Linked DNA regions of Oryzias latipes. The protein of the gene in region 1 interacts with the protein of each later gene in a pairwise test. Links are inferred from orthologs where the notes say so. Each region holds a gene or a part of one and is shown on either strand. Other genes may lie near its edges.

Region 1 (3,926 bases):
TGCCTGCTTTTTTCGAAATTGGGTTGAGCACGGATGTTTGTTCTGCCTAATTCATTTTCATGTGCCGGTTTTACGTTGTTTCACTCTGAGGTATTCTTTTTTTTTTTTTTTTTTTTTTTTTTTTTGCACCATAAGTGTGAAGAGCAAATAGGAGGAAGACATTCTTTAGAGTCTGATGTGTCTAAATAAAAGCATTAAGTGTCGGCTGCTCAAGCAATTTCAAATTAAAAGCTCCAAGCTTCCTCTTTGAATTTAGTATGTAGCATATTATGTGTAACGCCTCAGGAACGGCAAATGCCGCCCCCTATGAAGTGCCGCCCTGGGCGACCGCCCACATCGACCATATCAAAAACCGCCACTGCACTGCAGTAAGATAAACAGTTTAAGTCCCACTCCAATAATCATTCGATCTATTTTCAGTGTTTCCAGTACCGGTAGTCTTTTAATTATAACTATGCCGCTTTTAGGCTAAATCAAAAAACCTTTGTCGTTTTCAGGGACATACATAGTTTCTGCAGCGTGGCAGTAGTTCATTAGAAATTCATCTCTGAGTTGTGGGCGGGACTGTTGGCGAGGACTAAGCCAATCCCTGCTTCCTATCATCAGTTTACAGCCCCTCACAGCCCCCAACCTAAAATTATGCAACAAAAATGGCTAGCAATATTGGAGCTATGCAGCCATACCGTTTTGATCCAGATGTCAGCTCTGGCAAAGAAAACAAAGATGTACAAGGATCTAGTCATCTACAAGCCAATCCATCATAATGGAAAATGCTGCTGGTTGTAGTAGCTTGTAGTAGCTTCTACGTCAGATCTGCAGGATATTTCAAATGGCATTTTTGCACATGCTACTGATTCACAACGATTTGAATAAAGAAATACTCAGAAATGCAATTTTAATCTTATTTTTTTTATGTGTCCTGCATCATCAGAAAAATGTCACAAGAATTAAAAAATACACCAAAAATCATTTATTTGAATTAAGCCGTCAATTCTATTCTATTCTATTCTATTCTATTCTATTCTATTCTATTCTACTGAAAACCAATTATTTTTAATTTGTACTAAAAGATACAGTTATCAGTCTGTCTTTAGTTGGTTGTTTTGTAGTTTTGAGTTGGCTCAGCCGTTCGCGCTTCGTCTTGTTTGACCCTGGCGATGTCTCTTACTGTACGTCACAGTCACATGATTGTCAGGAGGAATTTAAGGAAACAAACGTCAACAACAAAAAATACAATTTTTGGGCCATAGAACTTTACATTTTCTGATTTTTTTACGGTTTTCTAAAGATGGAGTCAACCCTCGAACAACACCTTGACGATACGTGAGTTCTAATCTATGCTAACTAGCTTGTTTCTTTACATTTCGTACATTCGTTTGGCTAATTCTCTTGATTTCGTGTTTTTTCTGCAGCATGAAAAATCCAGCTGTTGTTGGGGTTCTATGCACGGACCAACAAGGACACAACTTGGGCTGTAAGACTCTTCAGAGTTAACAGGAAGTCACATCACATGTATTTATTCACGAAGTACCCCGTAGTCGATATTCTCTAGTTCGTCAGTTTCGCTAATAAATAAATTCCCGCAACAGTTTAGTTTCCCCAAAAACACAAGTTTCCACCGCCAGCTGTTTATGAGAGATCATGTTGTTATTTCTGATGTTTTAGTCTTTAATCTCATTAGAGAAATGTTGCCAGTGAGTGAGAGAGGCAAAGATGTAACTCAGAAAGAAGACCCATAGTGTTTAGGTCAGTGCAGATCATGTGTAGACATCTGTCTCCTAAAGACATCCTTTGCTTACATAACGGGATGTGTTACTTTTTCCAAAGAGGCCCATATTTGCAGTGAATCTTAGAACTATTTGAAACACATTAAATTAAATATACTGCAATGGGATACTTTTCATGACATTTCATGATTACATGACAGTCTTCACATAGAAAACAGACATCTAACTACGTTTTTACCAAAATTACTGTCACATTTGTATATTTTTTGCACAGTTCATTCACAGTTAGCTTGTCGTATTAGCATGTCTTATCTGGTAGTTTCTCTTGATATTGAACTCCATGAAAACAGCCACAGTCTTCTGGCCCATTAGGCAGACACAGTTGTTTTATATTTCACTGAAAAAATGTTCAAATTTTCCATTTGTCCTTTAAGAGGTTGACCCTTAAAGAGCTAGAGAGTGTCACAAAAGGGTCGCACAACAGTGTTTCCACAGGTTTATAAAGTCTGATTTAGCCAACCACACAGCTTTTAGATATTGTTGCAGGACGCGTTCTGTTGATTTTATGTAGGAGCCTACGGGCCGGTGAAAATTTGAAAGGGGGCCGGATTTGGCCCACAAGCCGGACTTTGGACATGCCTGGCTCTCATGACTGATCGACTGTTTTCCGTGTTGAAGACCTGAGTCGGAATAATTTAAAAATGGGTCTTCAACTGAATAAGTAACAATTTCCTCTTGAGGCAAACTGATTTGATCTATTATATGATAGTAACAGTTCAGACCAGCAAACATAGCAAAGAATTCTGGCTCACTGTGGTGGTCTGATCTGCTGCTGGTTATTACACCTTTGCTGCCAGATGTTAAAGCTACATGTTAAATTATCACACTGTTGGTGCTCTGACATTGTAAAAACGTGAAATCAGATTTACTTTAAGAAAAAAGTTAAATTCTAAATAAAGACTGCAGTCCAAATGAACTGATCTGATGAGCAGAAGGATGCATCTAAAGCAGGTCATCATTTAAAGTCCCACTCTGATCATCTTTTGATCTATTTCAAAAGCATTCCTAGTCTTTTATTTATGATGAAGCTGTTTTTGACCCAAAAAAAATAGTCATTTTCCAGAACAAAGTTTCTGCAGAGCAGCACTAGTTTTTTTAAAAATTCACCTCTTGAGTTGTGAGCAGGACTGTCGGCGTGAAGTAAGCCCACTTGTCGTCACTCATCTGTTTACTGTTTACATGCTCTCCTGCTAGCTTTCAGCCCTTCAGACCCCAAGCCTAACATTAGCGGTACATCAAAAATAGCGAGCAGTATCAGAGCTATACAGTCCTAGAGTTTTTAACCCGATAACTGCTCGGATGAGAAAAACAAAGACGTCCATGGATCTAGTCTGGATTCTGCTGATTCACAACGATTTGAATAAACAAATCCTGAAAAATGCATTTTTGAATATGTTCTCCATCATCAGAAAAATGCCAAAAGAACATGTTTAAAACACAATTTTCATCAGAGCGGGTCTTTGACATATTTTTTTTTTAGGTCGTGGATCTCTGTCAGATGAACATGGAGGTGTGGTGTCTGTTCTGGCTAAACAAGCAGCTGCTCTCACCAGAGACCTGACGGACACACCGACTGTGTGCCTAGAGTCCGAGTCAGGGTGAGCCATGGACTGTGCCTTTGCACAACTTCTTCTATTTCTTAGTTTTAGTGCATTTAAGGTGTGCCTTTGTAGTTTTAAATGTGGAAGTGTACAAATAAGAGTTCCAAGACGCTGTGCAATCAGCTTCAACTTCTGTGCCACAGAGGTGCAGCAGAGATGAGCATCCTCTATACCTGCTGGTCACGTGGGAGACCATGCCTAATTATTTTTCTGAGTATTGGCTCCTCTATACTATTCATGACTTTTGGAACTTCCGGATGTTGGAATATAATAATTTCCCCACCTCCTCAATACTGTACATTTAAGTCATTTAATGGATGATTTAATTCAAAGTGGCTTAACAGTGAGATACAAAACAAACCATATTATCCAGGATTAAGTGGTTGTGAGGGTTAGACTCATGGATAATCATATAGGCAGACCTGGATTTGAGTATTTATTTTTTTGGACTATGCTGCCACCTTCTGGACTCTTTTAAACTATTGAATGTAGTGGAATTCCCACCTCTGAAATGGACTTTGTCATTTGGAATTAGAAA
Region 2 (3,557 bases), on another chromosome or scaffold:
TTTTTCTGCGGTGGTTGGTTAATCTGCTGCATGTTTTCATTTTTTATTGTGACCTACGGTTGTCTATTTACAGATTTATTCTGGTTTCCCTGCTGGCAAACACTAAAACCATCAAACCATAAACTTGTACTTACATTTTAGAGAGGAATTCCTCTAGTTTAATAATCAGTATTAGTTTTCCTAAAATCCCTTCTCAGTCCACCTTAAACATCTTCTCTTTTAGTGTTGATGTTAGGTGACAGCATGTCTGACTGTTTGTGGAGGTCTCCGATCTGGTTGATCTCCCACTAGACTTGTGGTTTTCTTCCTGCATGGTTTTGTCATGCTTGCCTCATTTTTTCAGTTTGACCTTTTTGGAATTATTTGTAACATTCATAGAAGGCTGGACTGTTAAAATATAATGCAGTACAGTGAGACATCTTTGGATTCTGAGGGTCCGAGTCTGTGAAATGGACTTTATTAGTAACTGTTAAACTCAGTTCCTAATAAAGATCCTGAGTTTTGAACGTTGTGTTTAGGTTGCACTGTAAGGAAAAACAAATAAAATTTGTGGTTTTTCAACTTTTATTATGAAAAATAATAATTTCCTAACAAAAAATCAGCATCATTGCACCTTTGAAAATGATTTACACACTAATACAAGCAGCTAGTTTATCATCGGTTTCTTTGTGAGAAACAAATAAAAGCCGCCGCTAAACTAACAAGACAGATGAGATACGCCTCTATAAAAAAACAGGTTGTCATTTTTCCCAAATCCCTGCCTGGTGATGTCCTTTAGTGCACACACGGAAAAAACACTCGATCTGAAAGCAGCAATGTGTGTGTGATTGTGCCAGTGCATTCTGTTCCCTCGGCGAAGATCAGAAGCTGGCAGAAGCTCTGGAGTCCTGGAGAGGGACTAACATGGTTTATCACACCCCCTCTGACTCTCCTCCCTCTTTCCATCACTTTTTTGACCTGCGTGGTTCTTTCACTCATTATTTTCCATTACGATTCACAGACGTAAACTTTTAATCTAACAAAAAATTGTACTTTCAGTTGTCCTTTTGTGGTTAAACCCTCAAGTCCTGACAATCAACTTCCAACATCAAAATGTGCGACACTACAGACGGGTTTACGTTTCTTCTCAAAATTATCCCTGACTTTCTTCCATTCTTGAACTTGTCATTTTTCTCATCCCCCTCTTTCCCTCTTCTTCCTCACTCTTTCACCCTCTCTGGACCTCCTGGGACATGGAGCGACCCAGGACTTGAGGCGATTTGGCGAACTCCATGGTGGCTAGTTTGACAGGTGGGAGGTCCCTGGTGATCTCGTCCACGGTCCTCTTGCCAGGACAGAGCCCGTTTGGAACTGGGATAGGCACCAAGTCCTCCTCTGTGTGTGGGCCTCCACGCCCCAATCTGATGCCCAGCTCTGTGGGAACAAAAATGGGCAGGGGCAAAGTGTTTCTCTTTGGCAGCAGTTGGTGCTCCTTCACCCCTCTTTCCACAGTGCCCACCCTGACGACGCCAGAGGGGCAGGACTGGGTCAGACAGCGGGCCTGCCACTGCCGGGACAGAGTCTCCCGGCGGGAACTGTCGTTCATGTTCATGGTTTGTCTGTGGAATTCAAGAATTCCATAAAAATCTTCTTCATAGGACAACCAATTTGAGTTGAAGGGAGTTCAAATGTCTCACCTGTCCTGGGGCTGAGTCTTGAGGTAAACACTGACCCAGTCAGCAGCGTAGCTCTCCTTCTGTGCATTGTTCACCTCCCGCACGCTGCAGGTCAGCTGACCTCCCACCACCACACCGTTACTCTTCTCCAGCACACTGCAGATTGGCATCTTCTTTCCTTTGGAAGATCTCTCTCAGACTTACGATGTCCTGAAGATGTTGGCTTGTCTTAGTGATGCTTCAGGCTTCCTCTGTCTCTGCCTGGGATGTCTTTGCTTGGGTCTGCCTGTGGTTTATATAGACGCCCTGTTGCTATTTCTGATTCGTGTTGTCATTCTACAACCAGCGTGGACGACATCTGACACTCAGTCCAATGCGCCTCATTCCCGGACAGCTGGAAGCTCATCCGAGGAGGCTCTCTGGGGGTAATTGAGCGGAAAATCCCCTGATTCTCAGATTGTGCGCCCAGTCAACTTTTTAATCACCCTTACCACACTTTCCAGCTCCGTTAAAGTATCAGTAGACAGTGATTACATAAGCAGGGAGGCAGGGATGGGACAACAAGATTTGGGTTTTGACAGACACAAACAGCAGGTGAGACTTCAATCAATCCCTAATATAATACAAGTGCAGCGAATAAGTGATTCATGTCTGACTCGGAATACTGCAGTTTGTAATAACTGCTGCTGCTTATCAATTATGAAGAAGTACTAGCTGAGATTTTACGATGCTGCATGACAACATCAGTCATCAAAGGCCAGCGGATCTTCATCCTGATTCATGAACCTGGTGACAGAGCACTAATCAGCTCAGGTTACAGATCGAGAAGCGTCCACGTAGACTCCGACAGATCTCTGCCGTGGTGCCTCACTACCGGTCTTCGTCTGTGACTCATTCATCCTTACGGGGCACTTATTTCACCACAGGGCAGGTATCACTTATCGCACACGGCACAGAACATGACCCCCACAACAAGATGCTCCATCAGACAACAATAATAATACTTTGGATTCTGATGTTAGTTTTGTCTTCTGGTTAATCCACTGTGCGTTTGATCGTACTTTTTAGTTTCGACAACACCTTATGTTAACATGAACTTTTTTTGGATAGTGGAAAAAAACGAAATGTCACCACCTCAGACATGTTGTGAAACCATAGCAACCACGAATGTCATTTCAGAAGCCTCTTAAATCATTTTGAAAGTACCATCCCTGTTTTTCAGCAGTTGTAGACCTGAAACGAGAAAAAGTCATTTTCTTTTGCAAATTATGAGAGCAGAGTGGTTATTATTTAGAAAATTGTTACAAATGTGTGAGTGGTAAAAGTTTGTGAGCTTCAGTGACAGTCAGCGGATCTGTATCACCGTGACATCTGTGCGAGAAAATAACTAAACTTTTCCAGTAACTGCTGTTGGTGACGCAGGCAGAGACTTTTTATAGGAATGGCCAGAGAGATCCGAACACCAAAAATAAATGGAAAACAAAATAATAAATCAATGTTGCTTCTTCTGCAACAGAAGATTCTTATCGCTTTAACGCTACATGTTGTTTATTTGCAACGTACAATTTAAGCCAGGACTCTACCTGAATGGAAAAGACACTGAAGGATATTTTTTTAAATAATTGAGACCAAAATTTCAAAACTTTTAACAAATTAAATAGAAATAAACTGTAAACAATAAAGAAATATAAAAACTAGAGTCAACATAAAATATTACATATACAAAAAGAAGTAATTAAAAAAAAGAACATGAAAAGACAAGGCACACCCTTTAGGGTGAATAAACCTTAAATGAAAATTACGTTGTGCTTTTACTTTCCACTTTCCATGATCTATTAAGATAAAAAATAAACCTAATGGTACAAAACTAAATAAAAATAGATCATTTTTGTGTGACTATAT

The links.
Region 2: the proteins of lamtor5 (region 1) and telethonin interact in binary tests that used the Homo sapiens proteins (3 or more experiments, as listed by UniProt). The link is inferred for Oryzias latipes from reciprocal best matches to the Homo sapiens genes LAMTOR5 and TCAP.

What each region holds. Positions count from the first base shown.
Region 1 is NC_019865.2:10,897,414-10,901,339, reverse strand, and holds the start of lamtor5 (ragulator complex protein LAMTOR5), read left to right. Parts: upstream 1-1,149; 5' UTR 1,150-1,288; coding exon 1,289-1,323; intron 1,324-1,412; coding exon 1,413-1,474; intron 1,475-3,267; coding exon 3,268-3,385; intron 3,386-3,926. UniProt on the Homo sapiens protein: As part of the Ragulator complex it is involved in amino acid sensing and activation of mTORC1, a signaling complex promoting cell growth in response to growth factors, energy levels, and amino acids.
Region 2 is NC_019866.2:5,748,143-5,751,699, forward strand, and holds telethonin, read right to left. Parts: upstream 1,937-3,557; 5' UTR 1,826-1,936; coding exon 1,677-1,825; intron 1,599-1,676; coding exon 1,208-1,598; 3' UTR 547-1,207; downstream 1-546. UniProt on the Homo sapiens protein: Muscle assembly regulating factor. Mediates the antiparallel assembly of titin (TTN) molecules at the sarcomeric Z-disk.